2 linked regions of the Struthio camelus genome follow. The protein of the gene in region 2 purifies or fractionates together with the protein of the main gene of each other region. This does not show direct contact. Links are inferred from orthologs where the notes say so. Each region holds a gene or a part of one and is shown on either strand. Other genes may lie near its edges. The genes, in order: TTC1 and LIMK2.

Evidence for each region.
Region 1: the proteins of LIMK2 (region 2) and TTC1 purify together in Homo sapiens (affinity purification with mass spectrometry; 3 studies listed by BioGRID and IntAct, counting the BioPlex papers as one, with this or other methods). This does not show direct contact. The link is inferred for Struthio camelus from reciprocal best matches to the Homo sapiens genes LIMK2 and TTC1.

The regions. Positions count from the first base shown.
Region 1 is NC_090954.1:14,187,854-14,196,730, reverse strand, and holds the start of TTC1 (tetratricopeptide repeat protein 1), read right to left. Parts: upstream 3,610-8,877; 5' UTR 3,548-3,609; exon of another isoform or gene 3,099-3,547; intron 2,985-3,098; 5' UTR 2,976-2,984; coding exon 2,634-2,975; intron 1-2,633.
Region 2 is NC_090958.1:8,182,187-8,190,288, reverse strand, and holds the start of LIMK2 (LIM domain kinase 2), read right to left. Parts: upstream 3,796-8,102; 5' UTR 3,608-3,795; coding exon 3,592-3,607; intron 1-3,591. Other genes in the region: E3 ubiquitin-protein ligase RNF185, read right to left, coding at 6,598-6,695, 7,793-7,910. UniProt on the Homo sapiens protein: Serine/threonine-protein kinase that plays an essential role in the regulation of actin filament dynamics. Acts downstream of several Rho family GTPase signal transduction pathways.

The sequences.
Region 1 (8,877 bases), on a different chromosome or scaffold from region 2:
AGAGGGAGAGGGAGAGGGAGAGGGAGAGGGAGAGGGAGAGGGAGAGGGAGAGGGAGAGGGAGAGGGAGAGGGAGAGGGAGAGGGAGAGGGAGAGGGAGAGGGAGAGGGAGAGGGAGAGGGAGAGGGAGAGGGAGAGGGAGAGGGAGAGGGAGAGGGAGAGGGAGAGGGAGAGGGAGAGGGAGAGGGAGAGGGAGAGGGAGAGGGAGAGGGAGAGGGAGAGGGAGAGGGAGAGGGAGAGGGAGAGGGAGAGGGAGAGGGAGAGGGAGAGGGAGAGGGAGAGGGAGAGGGAGAGGGAGAGGGAGAGGGAGAGGGAGAGGGAGAGGGAGAGGGAGAGGGAGAGGGAGAGGGAGAGGGAGAGGGAGAGGGAGAGGGAGAGGGAGAGGGAGAGGGAGAGGGAGAGGGAGAGGGAGAGGGAGAGGGAGAGGGAGACATTTCCATGAGGTCAAGCAGCAGACAAGCGTTCCACTTAGTCTCATTCCTATTTTAAGGATTTAATATGTTCCCCTCCCCATGCCATATTGCTTTTCCACCTCAAGGAATTTGCACATTGATATGACTATCCATAATACAGGTGAAAAATTCCCCTTTTCCTCACTGGTATATTTGATCAAAAGAACATCTTACCAGCAAGGGAACTACACGAGCAACAGCTTGATTACATTTCTTTACACTGGTTTGTAACTAACAATGTAGTTGTTCAGGTGCCTCTTGGATCTACGCTCTGCATATTTCTGGCTCATCAGGCTCAATTTACAGCAGCTGACAATAAGATCATGGCATAGCAAAATTGCTGCCAAGCCTCTTCCTCTTTCCAGCTCTCTGGTACAATGGATGACCAGCGTTTATTTACTTCTAAAACATAGACAGGGCTAGCCAACAGCTGTGAAAGAACAGTACAGCTTTTCCAAGTCAGATGAATAAGAAAGAATCCTCTTGCCTACACAAAAAACTAATAAACTCCTATAAATCTCCTGAAACTTAACTAAAGAATCGCTACCAACATTCATAGTATTTTATGCACATTTTTTAATTCATTTCATATGAGCCTTCAGTTCCAAGTTTTTACCAAATGCTTCATTTTAGTAGTTTTCCTCCATTGTCCATTGCAGTAGTTATTTCTTCTACTGTTCCTGATGGTTTAGGAGTTTCCAGAATAAAAACTATGAAGCTATACACTGCTATTCCCTATGAGATAATGCTTTCCTAAGACCCTGTTCACCTTTTTGTCCGCTGCCATTCCTTGCCCAACTCTCTCCTTCACTCATCGTAATCCATTATTCAGTGTGTTACCTGTGACCCAAATTATGCACCCAGGCTTCCAATAAGGACTGTATTTCTTTTCTTAAAATAAGATCTAATTCATGCTCATAGGCTTATAATAGAGTACAATATAATAAATTTCACTGACATCTTCTGTTACGTAAGCTATGAAAGGTCAAAGTCCACCTTTCCCCAACTGCTGAAGAATAGACATAGCACACCTTTCATCAATATTTCAGTTTTCAGTACAAATAGCTGTTCATTTAGATAATCCAATCAGATTCTAAAAGGCTGAATCAGTTCTTTGAAGCACAATCTGTTTGAGAGGTTAAGCTACATCATTCTATTCCTCCTAACTTAACACAAGTAGGTTGCTCAAAACTCAGAAAAAAATATTTTTTTCTAAGAGCTGTATATCAGGACATTGATTTAGTTTAATGCCCTTACTCCCCTCTACTAGCAAACATAAGTTGCAAAAAATTAGAAAAAAAGGAATCATACACCTGCAGAAAGCATTTCACCATTTACTATGAGAGCATCATTTCTGGCAAAATTCACCACATTTCAGGACTCCACTCTTACACTAGAGTAAGGGATTTACAAGTTTTCTCAAAAAAAAATCAGAAAAGAATATTCTATTTTTTAAATATGAGATGACCATATCTGCCTTAGAACTCTGAAAAAAAGCTACGGTCACATGACATTGCTGACTGAGGGTCAAAAAACCCCAAACTGATTCACTCAGACTTACAGGGAAGTAGAAAGGATTGAGAAAGCTGTTGGACTTCCTCTCAGACCTACTCCATTCCTCCCCACCGCAATATCCAGTTTGTTACCCAAATGTTTTGTCCAATGTAACTGCACTGAAAGTAAGCAAAAATACAAACATTTGAAGGTTTTGTTTAAATTCTTACTAATCTAAAAAGATACAGCTAATTGAGGTTAAAGTTGAAAGTATTACACAAACTAGCTTTTCAGATATCAAAACTATCCTGAAACCTCCTCTGAGTTTTTATAAAGCACCTTGCAGCTAATTAGGGGAAAACAATGAATGCACACAAACTAAACAACTTGAAATAAGGAGATGTTTGTTTCTTATAATCTCTTTCCATCACAATAACTGCACACACTGGTGATCCCAGCAGCACATAAAAAAAACTTCAAAGGAATGCAATGATTAAGAACAGTACGGACAGCTAACAAAAATATTTGTTACCAAAACCAAGAATTTAAGAACAGTAAAACTAAGCATATTAAGAAGTCTTAAAGGTCCAGCTACATGCTGGATTTTATGCCAGAAAGGTCACAGATCATTCAGACAAGTGACATTGAAAATTTATCTTTTTGCATTCAACTTTAGTAAGTTGTATTACCTGTTTTTCTTCCTCTGGCATATCTTTTTCTAGTTCTAGTAAGTATTCTTCATCTAGCTCTGTTTGCTTCCTTGAGCTATTTTCATCATTCTGTACATTTCCTTCACCATCCACTTCAGATTCTTTTGCCTCAAAGGAGTCATGACAGTCATGGAAGCACTCATCTGCTGTTGTGGGCTCCTTGGCTGAAGATGGTATGCACTCACTTTTGAGGTTTTTTGGATTCTGTGCACCTTTGGGGCCAGCTGCCAAAGAACTGGTGCTCTCTGAAGACTTCTGATCAGAAAGCTTTAAGTTACGGAGTAACTCTTCAGATGGCCTTGAATCTTTAAATTCTTCCATGTCGGACACCTTAGAGGAGTCAGGTTTTTAGAAATGAGAGAGAAATAACCCTCAATAAGAGTAATATAAAGCCTTATCAATTAATGAACATCAAAGTACTTAAAATTTTACTCTCAGCATCACCTCAGGCAAACTGCTATCCCTTCAGGAGATGCAGAAACTAGTACGTGCCTCTCCAAATCACCGTAGCGTTCAGTGGGGCCCTTACACTACTCCACGAGCAACTTACTCGCTCAAGGATTCCCTAGACAGGCACAGCACAGCTCTGCGCTCCGGCCGTTACTTCGCGCACGGCCTGAAATCACACGCTTCCCAGCGCCCTGGGCACCACCTCGCCCGCCCGCGCCTCGCCCTCTGCCCCGGGCAGGGGGCTCCCGCGCCGCCCACCTCCGCGCTCTGCCCCCGGCCCGGCCCGGCCACCACACCGGGGGCAGCCTTTCCCGGCAGAGCCCCGCGGCCGCCTCAGCCGCCCCCCGCCCCAGCGGGGCAGACGAAGGACCTGCGCCCTGCCATGGCCCCGCCGGGCCGGGCCCACCACCCCCCACCGGCCCCCCACAGCCGCCGGCAGAGACCTGCTCCTTCCCTTCCGGCTGCCCCGCTGCCCTCTCACCCCGCAGGTCGCTTCCTGCCTGCGCCGGCCAATCGGGGAGGGCCGCGCGCGGGTTGCTGGGGTTTGTAGTCTTGCGGGCAGGCGTGACGCAGAGGGCGACGCCACGGCCCAGCCGCAGGGCGGGGCGTTTGGCGCGCGGCGGGAGGGCGCCGTTAGGGCGGTTGGGCCACGCGCATGCGCGGGGGCGGGGGCGGGCGGAGTGAGGGATGCTGCGGGTGGGTCACCTCTCCTGAGGCTGGGGGGGAGGGGGTGCTCCCGCCGGCGGGGCGCGGGTGGGTGGGCTGTAGGGGTCTTGGGTGCTGCTCTCCCAGGGGCAGCTGAAGGCATCAGGTGTAGTTAAAGGGGGAGGAGGTGCCGGGGGTGGCAGAGGCCTGCCCCAGTGCAGCCGTGGCAGGAGGTGGGTGAGGGACGGGGCACAGCTGGGGCTGGCGCAGGTGGGCAGTGCCCCCAGGCCACCGCCACCTGGCTTGGAAGGAAACGTTAGGCTGCAAATGTGAGAGGATAATAAAGAAGCAAATCTCGCTAGATGGATGAAAAGGAGGAGCATATGTATAGTGACGTATCTGTGACATGAGTGCAGTTGCTGCTTCCGTGGCCTGTACTTTATCTAATGATCTCTTTATCCAGTGAGGGAGACTCTCTAGTGTGCATGATGCTCCTAAAGTGTCTTGACCTGATTGTTTTCAGTATGGGCCTTAGATGTGGTTTCTCAATTGCGATGTAGCTAAGTACTGGACTAAAACTCCCTTTCATTTTGATTTGTAGTCATTCATTCTGTACCTCAGAATTGTTTAACCCCAAATCTCAAAGCAAAACTGAATTTTCTGGACTTTTGGAGTTAAAATCACATGAAGCAGCACATAAATCTCTATGCCAAACAATAGGACAGCTGGGGAATAATCTTAAGAGGTTTTTATTGCTCTAAAAGGTTCACAAATACTGAAAAGTTTTTCAGTAAGCAAGTTCTGATGAAAGATAAAATCAAGTTTCAAATGTTGCTCTAAATGTTTTATGCAGAGCTAATTTAACAAAAAAATCAAAAAGCCCATGTGCTATATAGGCCGTTGCAGATACTGTTTAGGCAGAATCTATTCTCATAGTAGGAAGTGGTCAAGGATTATCCTAAGAGAACGTAGGTTCTTGAAAACTGACAGTAATCCATCTTTTATTCAGAGGGAGATTCCCCTCCTTTCCCTCTCATACTGTGCGGAAATACACGGACAGACTATTAAAAGCGTGTCAGCTTTTCAGGAGTTACCAGCCACCATTATTAAAATATCACTGCAGTAACACATCTGGCAAAACTCCACTAGAGTACTGAAATGTAATTAGCCCATATGAGAGTCTTGGGGAAGGGGTGGATCTTTAGAAATATTTTGAAATCTATCCTGTCGTCCAAATAAAATCCACTCAGTGATGTCGTCAAGCTTCAGTTCAAGCCTGAAGGGCTTGTGGGATGTTCAGCATTTCAAAGTTGAGGTAGCAATTGAAGAGCTAGATTCATTTTTGGTCTTACCTTGTTTGATCAATGCTTCTAAATGAATGTTTCCTACTGTATATTCCATAACACCTCAACAGCTTTAACGTCAAGCAAAATGACGAAGATCTTTCAAATGTCTGTTGGTGCCAAGGATGGATGTGGGTATTAGATACTGAAACTTTACAGTAAGTTGGCAGTAGAATGGCTAGTTACAGTGAAAGCAAGCAGGAGCCCTAAAGCTGTTTTTTTTCCCCTCTCTGGGTAAAAAAGTGGTTTCAGTGTTCCGCAGTATCCCAGCTGCAATGATTTAGCCCACAAAAATGTACTTCTCTGCTGTTCTTCTGCTAGGACTGTGTAATTTATTCTGACTTACAGAAGATATTTCTGAACCCTCACATTGTCCTATACAATATCATTTGGTTGGGAAAGAGAGGACGAGATTACAGCCATGGTACAAAATCAAGCCATGCAGGTTTGAATTGGCTGAAATGTTATTTAAAACTCCTCTGACTGTGCAAAGAGCATGGGAGTTTGAGAAAGATAAAGGGTTTCACACCTAAGAAGACTTGTACTGATAAGAGTAATACCTTCCAGGGTGGTGTGCCAGCCTGTATTTCCCTTTAGCAAACAAGAGTTTGTTTGCGGGTAAAAACTCAAAGTGGCACTACTTAAAAGTTTTGAGCTGCTGCTCAAAATACCTTGCTCAGTGGCAAGGTATTGTCTTGCCTTTGTGTGAGGCAGGAGTTTCTAGCTTCCACAGAGCCCCAAACTCCGTTTGCTTTTCAGAAATGCTGCAGCTCCTAACTCCAGTCCCTAGCCAGCCCTGCTGAGCACTGTTCAAAATCTGTCTGTCACCTTTGGCACCCCTGCTGTGGGGCTGCTGGACTGAAATGACTGGCAATTTTTCCTTATCAGCACAGTTATAATTAGGGTTCCTCACATTTGATGAAATGTAGCATCTCATTGACGCTTCATATGAAGAAGTGTGTGGAAAAAAATAGCAGATTTTACCAAATAAATTTTCTGCTAGCGTCTCTTCTGATCTGGAAACGCTTTAGAGATCCCTGAACTTTTTAATTGCAATCTAGTCAGCACTATGTTTCTCCCAACACAAAGTAGGGAAAATGCTGCAGCTCACCAGGAACTCAATTCCCTGATTTCGTTTAGGGAATGCAGCTTTTCTCTAGAGCTAGCAAGAAGGGCCATCTTTCCCATCGTCCTACTCCATGAAAGATCGGGGTGTCGTCAGGAGCCCTTTTCAGAGGAGTGACCTTTGAGCCTCTTGGCCTCTGTTTAGTACGGTGGTTCATCCCGAAGTTAGCCCTGAGCAAGCTGCAGTTCAGTGAAAGCAGTTCAGTTCTCTGAATAGAATGTCCCTCCTGTGGAAAGGCCTGTATGTGGCAACAGGAGTTAAAAGCCCAAAGACTGCACTGGTATTCAGGGATTAAACACCCACCAGAAGAACCAAAGAGCTCTCTTGCCACCATCAGGGAACCAATCTTCCACGTACCAAATGAAGAGCCAGAGACTACTCTAACCTCCTTTAGCTGTCGATGCAACTGATGCGTGTAACTTCAACCTTTAAGGTTCCCCAGTGCTAACTTAGCACTGTATGTCTCACTTTTCCTCCTTTACACTCTAACTTTCTTCATGGAAGTGTTTTGTACATAGGTTACTTAATGTTTGAAAAATATATAAACATGCTCTCTTACAGTATTTTCAAACATAAACTTTTTAGTAAGAATCACTTACCCCAGAGGTTATAGGGCAGTTGTCAGATTTACCAATAAATTTCACTCGTTCCAACACAGAACACGTTACAGCTTTAATCAGTCTTTTAGAACCTCTAATTCATTGCTCTAAGTGGAAGTGTATGAATAGCCAAAGCTTGTATATATACAAAAAATGGAATCTCGGTGTCATTTGTTTAATCTTCTTCGTCCTAAGGGATTTTTTAGAGCAGCGATGTTTGTTTAACTGAACACCTGTTGAAAAAAATCAAGAACATATAATCCCGAATAAGTAGACGTGTTTGGATAAGAATTTGGTTATGGAAGCCTTAGTTTGTATTCGTGAGATTTACTCACTGTCTTGACAGAGCTTACCTCCCAGGGTAAGCACACAGCAAAATCCAGGGTCACCGCATACCTGAAGTGGAACGCTTTAATACCTCAGCAATTTTCTTGAGCCAAGCATAAGCTGAAGAGGTAAAGTTAGAGAAAGATTCTGCATCTCCATCCATATTTTCCTCCAGCAAGACCTTCTTTACGCTTCCAAAATTTTTCCTATTTCTTCCTTTATCCACAGCCTCATGATGATGGTGTTATCTGGCATGATCAGCTGGTGCAAGTACAGTGTAGCGTACCAAAAAAAAGACTGCGGTAACTGGAGAGTGTTGGATTGACTTGAAGCATAGGAAAAAGCAGTGTGAAAAAAAAGTGCATTCTTTTGTTTCTTTTTGACATGAAAGTTTTCTGCAGGATTTCTCACCACTTTTAAGATTCAGAACTTGGATTTCTATCTACCTTTTACAACTGTGAGTACTATTACAGAAGACAAGAAGGCAACTGGGAAGAGTAGGACATTTTAGTCAAAACCACTTATGTTTAAATTCATACCAGTTACTCTCTATTTTGTGTGTTTAGTATTTTGTAAAATGACTCTACTCTTTAGATGAAGTTATTGGAATTCATAGCTCATATCCTTAGGTTCACTTAACACAAAACATCTTCTGACAAGACCAGAGACAACCAGAATTGCTATTTCTAATATTTCAAAGGTTAAAATGTTCATAAAATATAACAATCGGCATAAAATAGCTTTAAATATTGCAAGCTAGCTGGTTTTTCTGTTGAACAAACAGGATCCTGAGAACAATACCTGGCAACTAATTCTCGCACTGGGAGATTCTAGCTTCAATATCTATGGCCAGAATTTCAAGACAGCTATGCACACAAGGAGGCATCTAATCTACATGCATAATTGCAGTGACCTCGGGGACACACTGGCTGACACTCTACTACTGGATTTCATTTGTGTATTCATTTGCTTGATTTACATGCATAAACATGAAAGCTGAGCATGCAAAACGTACTGAAAAAGCTGTTCCTATGCTTTGAAAAATCACCCTTGAAACACAATGTTCTGGGTTTTGGGGGCTTTTTTGGTGTTTTTTTTTTTTTTTAAGTAAATAAGAGCAGCTCTCTTCCACCAGCTACAGCTTACATTCTCTCTTAAAGATTTCTGATACCCATCCATGTATTACATTTGACTTGGTGAATAATAATTTGCTAGTGTTTCATTCCAGAAAGTTGCATTATTTCTTTAACTGTTTCCATGACCTGTGAGTTATTCCGATTTTGACCTTGCTTACCCAATGAACGTTTCATATTTGTACCTCAAAAATATTTGTATTTTCCTATGAAATGTTGAGGTGATCCTAAAATTGTTCATTCTTACCGTTCCAGTTTCATACAATATAAAAGATGTTAAGGTGTTTAAATTTTGCAAGTAAACTGAACCAAAGCCCTGCATTCAAACAGCCAGAGACTATAAAGATAAGCATTTGAATTTTGCAGTCTTCAGGCATTTTCAAATACTAATATTTACAGCGGATGATTCACATGGTAGAGCCAGTGCGAGGCCTGTCATTGAGCAATGCAGGTACATGCTTCGTGTTTTTCACAGAATGCATAGACTTTGCAGGAGTAGCACTGCAGAAGTAGTGCAAGTGAGGGTTATGAATTCTGCTCAGTGAAATTCTATTAAAAGGGTCTTTTCCCCGTAACCTGTTTCAGACTTGCTGTCTCACC
Region 2 (8,102 bases):
TTTACTTCAAAGGAAACAAGGATTCCTGCATCCCTGACAAAAGACATCCTCAAATTATGTATCTGACATCAAAGCCTTCACGCACAGAAAGTTAAGCCAATACTGGCCACTCTGTAATCCCAGGGACAGAGGTTTCTGAAATGAACATTTAATGTACTACTTCCCCCTCTGTTCCCCCCCCCTCCCCCCAAGATCCCACACCACCATCAGCTTCCTCATATTCTGCAGAAGAAAGCAATATTATTTTTCGCAAGGCCAGGAAGTCAAGCTACTGTTTCCCCCATGCCACTGACTCAGCACATAACATTTGCACTCATTTGTATAATTAACTGCATTTCCCAGAACAGAAAGAAAGGAAAGGCAAACTTTATTCAGCAGAGGACAACTCGACTACCAGGAAGGAATTACACACTTGAATGGATATTCCAGTAGAGACTGTACAACGAACACTAGACTGGAGCCAGATTTAGGGAGAGGGGCATATGCTATTGGCCTATTATTGCTTCAGAAAAAGCCGTGGCTAGTCCAAGAACTATAATAGCTTCTGCTAGAAGTGCCATAAAGCCCCTGAGACAGCTAGTTCTTTAGGTGTATACAAGCTAGAAAAACTGTATGAAGATTCTTGTACAAAGATAAATGCTATCCCGAATCCAAACAGATACAAGTACTATCTTAAAGCAAGAACCAAGGATCTGGATGGGCACAAGATGGTGCAAGAAACATGTTACACAGCTACTGGGCAGATCTCAAACCTGTTTCTTCTTGCTACTAGAGGTTTACTTGCAGCAAGGTTGCATAAAGAAAAAAGCATGCTTAGAGAAGGAAAACCACTAACCACGGACTTCCAGTTTCCAAAGAACAGAAAAACTCAGCAGTCACTCAATTACCCCTTCTTCCTAAAGCATACATTAAAGGAGACAGTTTTTCTCTGGGATCAATTGCAAGTATCAAATATTTGCAACGGGGTGCAGTTGCACACTTGCAAGCAGTAAGCTGTCAGATGCAAGCAGCTTCCTTCTGTAACTTCACCCTGTAACTTATACAGATACAAGATAGCTCTTAAACGGACCAAATCCTTTTCAATCATTTTCCTACAGTTACCACCTCTGTAAGTTCACATAAAACAGGGAGAACACCTACCCATTAGCTATTTGTGAGATGAACTTCATGTCAGCTATTATAGAATCTACAGGCTAGAAACCACCCAGGATATGCAAGTCTAGTACAGAAAAAGCCAACACTACTTCTAGGGTTACACTTTTCACTTACTCCCCAGACTCTGAATGGCCAAGTCAAGTTTAAAAAAGGTTCAAATGCCTACTCCAAACAGAACCAAGCTAACTTTTACTCTCCAGAAAAGACCCAGCTACAGCAGACACAGTCAGCTGTATGATGCTAGAGAAGAAAGCCGTAGAAGGTTAACAGGTTAGCATTTATAAGCCCAGCCTCAGTTGCACAGGGAAGATGATTTATTTATCTCATAGTCTCTCTTTAGCTTCATGGTTTAAACTGAGAGAACGTTACCACCTCCAACAGATACAATTCAAAGACACAGAACTACTAGGTTATGGGCTTATCAGAATAATAGTAAAAAAGAGAAAGAGAGAGAGAGAGAGAGAGAGAGAGAGACACACACACACAATATTCAGTGCTCCAGTAACAAATCAATATTGCAAAAGGCTCTGGGACTAGTTAATGAAAGCCCCTGTGACAGCAACCAGAGAAGCGGTATTCAGTACGTATCGTGACATAGTAGTTATGATTACCGCAATGTGGATGGGCAAAGCATCACCTTGAAATGCTAGGGTAAACAACCTGGGAGAGCTTAAAACAAATAGAGCAGGGAACCAAAAGAGAGAAGTAAAGATAAGAGGAGGAAAAAGTCTAGATTTAGTGATTAAAATAAAAGCTCAATACTCAGCATAGACTATGTAGAGGTGCTCAAGGTACAGTAAATTCCCCTTGCTCACATAGCTTTCTAAACATTAATAGGTATTGAGGCCAAGTTCCTTGAAGTTACACAAAACATAAGTCATTAGACTTCTATGCATTCTTACCCCACTGCGTGGGTCAGTTAACAACACTTAAAAATAACTAGGCTGAAGATGTCCTCGTACATTTTCACAGATAACTGTTTCAGTGACAGGACTTGTTGCTCAAGCACAAACAAGCACCACCCTTGTCAGGGGATGAGCAGTACCCACAAAGGTCTCTATGCAGACTACAGTGCTAGACAGGATTCATTCAGATGTGGCATAAGCTGCTACTTCATTTCCCAAGAACACTTCAGCTCAATACCTGGGAATGCTTCTGCTCCCTCCTGCTATCTGGAGCACAGCGAATTCCAGCTGAGCTCAGATCTCCACTGCTGGAAGAGGGTTAGGAGACACTTACAAAAAGCTTAAAGCTTGCACTACTTCACATGTGCCTCTGTAAAACGAAATGCTTTTCAGTGCACTACAACAGGCTTAGAAACAAAAGGCAAGTCCACGTATGCCCATGACATAACGGGCAGGGAGCAGGGGCACTTCTCTCCAAGTAACGTAACACAAGTCCTCAAAGCCAGCTGAATTACTTCTGGAATTCCTGCCACTCTACCAGCCAAGTAAGGCTGCAAATCACACATCCCTCAGCTCCACCCCCCCGTCCCCCCTTTAATGCCAGGAGCAGAAGAAACAAATGTGAAAGCAGAAAAGAGAACCTGTTTCCAGAAATTGAAGGACCAATTATTACACTACTGCTAACTAAAAGCAACAGACATTCCTCCACAAGGATCATACAGCTTTACAAGTTCACTTCTAAACTCTGTGCACTAGTCATCTTCCAGCTGCAAAGCTGAAAAATTTAACTGCATCCAGGAAGGCTGATTAGCCCACAAAAGGAAATGAATAACGCTATATTCAACTGAAATTCCTTAGGCATCCAGGAGAAGTGATGGAAGTGGGAGGGAAAAAAAAAAAAAAAACAGAGCAGGAAATAGCGCGAAGGAAAAGCAAAGAGACATAATCAATATAACAGGTCTGCCAAGTCCCGCAGGCCGGGAGGAGCGTTGCAGAGAGGGCCAGCGGCAAGCCGGCGAAAGGAGCCCCCCGCCGAGCAGCAAAGCCCGGCAGAGGACCAGCGGGGCCGCCCTCCGGCGGCAGCGGGGCTGCCAGGCCCCCGCAACCAAGGGAGCGGAAAGCGAGCAAGACCGCCGGGTCCCGGCGGACAACCACGCTAAGGAAGGGCGAGCAGGAAACGGGGACGGACAGCCTGGCCTCGGCGGCGCGAAGCCGCGCAGCCCGCCACCCTCGGGGCACGCAAACACCGCGCCGCCTCTCCGAGCCCGGCGCACCGGGGCCCGGGCCAGACCTCCCCCGGGACGCGGGGCAGCAGCGGGGCAGGCAGCGGCCGGCCTGGCCGACGGGCTCGGCAGCCGCGGGGACGGCGGGCGGGCCCGGGCGGGGCCGCGCGCAGCCCCGCACCTGCCGCCCAACCGCCTGACGGGAGCCGCAGCCCGGCGCGGCAGCCCCGCGGCTGGGCAGGGCGGCGGCGGCGGCGCTCAGCGCCCACGGTAGGCGCGGCGCGGCCCGGCCCTCCCCCCCGCCTCACCTGGCAGCTCCTCCATCACCGCTGCCGCCGCCGCCCCGGGGCTCGCCCGCGCGTGACGTCAGCCGCTACGGAGCGCGCGGTAGGTCACACCGCACCTGGCCCGGGTGCGCGCGCGCGCGCTCGCGCGCGAACCCCCTCCTCCCTTCCCTTCTCTTGCTACTTCTCTTTCCTCGCTTCTACGGCCCTGAGCCGCGCCCCGCCCCCGCCCTTTTCCTCCCCGCAGGCCCAATCGCCGCTCCGCCTCCCGGCGGCCGCAGACCAACCCCCGCCGCCCTCCCGCCCCTTCCGCGGCGCGGCCCGCCCCTCCTGCGGCCGGGGCCAATCAGGGAGCGGCCCCGCCCCGGCCCCGCCCCCCACGTGGCGTGGCGGGCTCCCGCCCCCCGCCGCCCCCCGCCGCCGGGCCCGGCCGCCCCTCCCCCGCCCGGCGGCAGGTACCGACCAACGGCCGTTGGGGCGCGCGCGCCCCGCGCAGCCGCCGTGACTGGGCCCCCGGCGGAGCGCGCAGAGAGGCCCAAGACGCTCAGGTCAATGTAAAACCATTTTTTTTATTCTAAATCACTTTCACAACAGTGAAAATTAGTGAACAGTAACGGTGACGCACTAAGCGAGCCGTTAGGGGCCGCGTGCGGTCTCAGTACAAGGGGAAAGTGCTACAATACAAAAAGCACACCGAGAGAAAGGTAAGAACAAAAGCATTAACACTTTTAGACTATTTCATTCTTGGATTGCCTGGAAATTAAGGACTCTCAGTCATGTTTCTGCAGCCACCTCAGTCTAAAGCCATTGCTTCTCTCACCAGTAGATGGCAACACCCCGCCCCCCAAACCATTAAAAATTCTGTATTTTAAAACATAAGTGTTAGTTAAATCTCGATTAATACCTCTTTTGAGCCTACGACAGTTACTTTTCCGTCCTCCTTGTAGGAAAAAGGCTTTAAAGGGATACCCTACTCCTTCCTGGGTAACCGCAGCTCCTTCTCGGCACCCAGTTTCTCGGTACTCGGGGAGAAGGAAAACCCTCCCTTGTACAACCACGAGAACTTTTCCTTTTCATCAGCAGGTGGTGCTGCCTGCTCACGAAAGCCCGTCAAAGCTGCGACGTTTTTTACAAACTATGGCCGGTTGCTTGTAGGAATGCAATAAATAGCCTTTCTCCTAGAAAGGGTCCTACTTCCCGAGTTACGCACTTGAGAAGAAGCAGATGTAAAAGAAGTTAAGCTTCTCAAAAGTGCCACACAACAAAAGTTGAAGCATTGCTTCAGCTATTTATAGTTGAGAGAGATATTCTGCCAGATTATCAGCAAGTCAGGTATAAACTCGACTGGATGTGGCAAAACACTGCAGAAGCTTTGCAAAATTGTACTTGCCACGTGGAATTTTGGAGGCGGGCAAGTTAAACCTCAGTGAACAGTTTATAATTACAGAAGTTAGCTTGCACAACAATTAATCAAGGTGCCTTGCCCAGGAACCTCATCCATATGCATGAGAAAAAGCCTAACTATTTAAACAAGGCTTCTATGAGTTGATTTGTTTTGTCAGCTGTCAGTCAACTGCCAAGGAAGTCAAAATATTCATCTTGCAGGAAATTATTATGACTATCAGTGATCTGAATCAAAATAATTAAAAATAATTTAAAAAAAAAGTTGGAATTGCCTAGTCAGAAGAAAAATCAAAACTGTTCATCTTGCTAGGGAATCCCTCATAGCTGCTGTTCTGAAAGAATCTACACAAATACATCAGGAATACTTTTTAAAGCTATGTACCCAACAGGATTCCAAAAAGGCTAGTCTTGTGTGCTCACCTTCTGAAACGTTTTTCCCTCAGCACAGAAATGGTTGTAGTTTCCTCCATTATTTCCAATGAATATCTTTGGTAGATATTGCAATGACTCTTGCGCTATAGCCATTTTGTTGTGGCACAGAGCATCTTTACACATCTGTACAGAGAAACTCTTCCAAATGCTCCCCACTGTGGCTAGCAAAGGTAGGATTTCATTCCCCCTCCTGCATAATTTTACAGTATGACAAGTTTAACCTCAAAGCTCACTTTAAAATGTCCCTCATTCCTCTCCCCCAAAAAGCTGATCTCAGATCTGTTAATAGGATTTTATTTGGAGTACATGATCTTGCTTAATGTCTCACAGCCTTAGGAAAAAGAAATGTAGCTACAGTGACAAGGCTGTGAGGGGATTATCCATGGGTGCAGCCAGAGACTGCTGTGAAGAACCAAGGAAGACAACACTGTTTTGTCAGCGGGGAACTGAGCTTGGGTGAGGCAGACAGGTGTGTGTACTGTTCGGCAACCCCAGCCAGCTCCACGACGAGAGCATCTTCCAGTGTCTGGCTCCAGCAAATGCAGGTTTTAAGAAACTGCAGCATAAACTTGTATCCCTTCTTATAACAGCCACTGGAACCACTTCAGCAGGGAGTTTTCCATCACTCCATCAAATAACAGCAAGAAAAGAAAGCATTCTCCAAAGCTGGTTCCATTTGCATCACAAGTCACGCCCAAGGAGTCTCAGCAGTGCTGCAGATGACTTCCTGAAGAAGGCTAGATGTTGATGTGAAGACATCAAACAACATCCGCAACTCCAGCTGGTCCATCGTGGTTGCCAAACATGAGATACAGATCACACTACAGAACTTTGCTTACCTGCCCAGCCTACCTTGGGGCAACTGTCTTTCAAGTAAACCTGTTGTAACTAATTGGCACAGGATTTAAAAGCAGCACTCCTTTTAGAAGTGGAGCTCAAAGCTAGCCCCATGGTTTGTGGCAGGAACCTGTTGTACAAGATAGCTGAGCTGAAATATGCTTTTAAACCAATGTTTAATTTCCAGCTCTGGTGCAAAACGCGAGATTCTTCATTGTGCTGTGGTACCACCAGTTTCTGGAACCCGTGATTAGCTATGGAACCAGACACCAAGAGGTTTAAAATGGGAAGGGGATGCAGTTTGTAACTGTTTCAGAGGCCTCGCTGGCCATGAATATACAGGATAATGGAAAAGATTTATGCAATCAACAGCCAGAACATTATCACCAGAGCCACAAACAGGAAGAGGCGGGATAGGAACTGCTCATCCACATATTGAGGAGTCCCTGGAACAGCTGGAAAACAGGAAGTAAAAAAAACAGTTCAGCTCTTTCAACTTCTCCAGAATATTGTATATTCTGCATATAGCACATTCATAAGTTGAAAAATACGCAAGAAATCCACCTGCAGAAAAACTGTTGCTGACAAGGTTTCCTATCCTTGGGTTGCCTAGCCATGCCAGAAGGTCAGAAGGAAGAGAAGCATCAGCTCCTCAGAGCAGAACTGGCAGTAGGCCTGCTCATGACTAATAGGAGCAGGCAGCTCCAAGTGCTAAGTCCGGACAAGTCCGTTCAGAGTACTGGGGACAAAGCTGAGCTAAGTTCATTGTTGCCAGGTGTTTCCATCCTGAGGAACTTTACAACCTCTGCCTCAGCCTTCCTTCCCCCTCAAGGTGAAATACATCTCTCTGCATATGCAAATGGTAACAGAGTCAAAACTTGCGTGTGTAGCCTTGACCAAGAGAACTGATGAAAAGCGCACAAGCTTAAAGCTCTGGATGGACCTTTCTGGAACTGCTGTATTGAGTCCCCAGATGAAAAGCAGATAAAAGCGTTGGTTAAACGATGGCTGTATATCAGCACACATTTAAATACCCCTCAGTTCAGGCAGACCCCACACAATTTTTCAGTGCAAAGCAAAGTATAGCTGATAGGCAAGTTCATTTGGCCCAAGGACAACACAGGTCCTTTTCAATACACATGTGACATGAAGAATGACCTTCTGGTTTTTTCCTCATAATTCCTAGGCCAAAACACAATGTATCCTCAACCCATATTATAGAGTGAAGTAAATTTACCAGGTGGAACCTTTCACCCAGGAAGTCCAGAAAACGTTGGGCAGTAGGTTTTCTCGTTTGAAACAGGTAGACTCAGTTATTCCTACAGTGCTGATAGGGAGGTGTGTTTCTGGGGATTACCAAACAACTTTTAGAGAACGAGACCACTATTTGAAGTAACTGAACTGTTTTTTCTTAATTAAAAAAAAAAGTGAAATTATTTCACCAGAAAGTGAAATTTTGTCACTTAGCAGGCTATTTTTTTAGAAGTCACAAGTAAGTTTGTAAAACATTTGTTTATGATATGACTCTCCTAGAAGGTAGGACGCACAGTACCTGGAGGAGGTCGCCCGTCATTTATGTTGAATGCTGTGGCAAATATACCAAAGGGAAAGGCCCCAATTCCGAATGACATTTGGAAGCCACCATCCCCAAACCCAAAGCCCTGGAATCCCTGCAGAGAACAAAGCAACAGAAGATTAAAAAAAGGCTACAAATCATTTAAAACATATCTCAAAAACATTTTGCAAAACTGCAGACAAACGTTCCCTCTTGCTGGCTTCTTTCCTAAGGCTGAAGGATTGGCATGCTGTCTGACAACTTTCAGTTTGCCACGCTATTGTTACCTACCTCCCTAGTTCTCCTG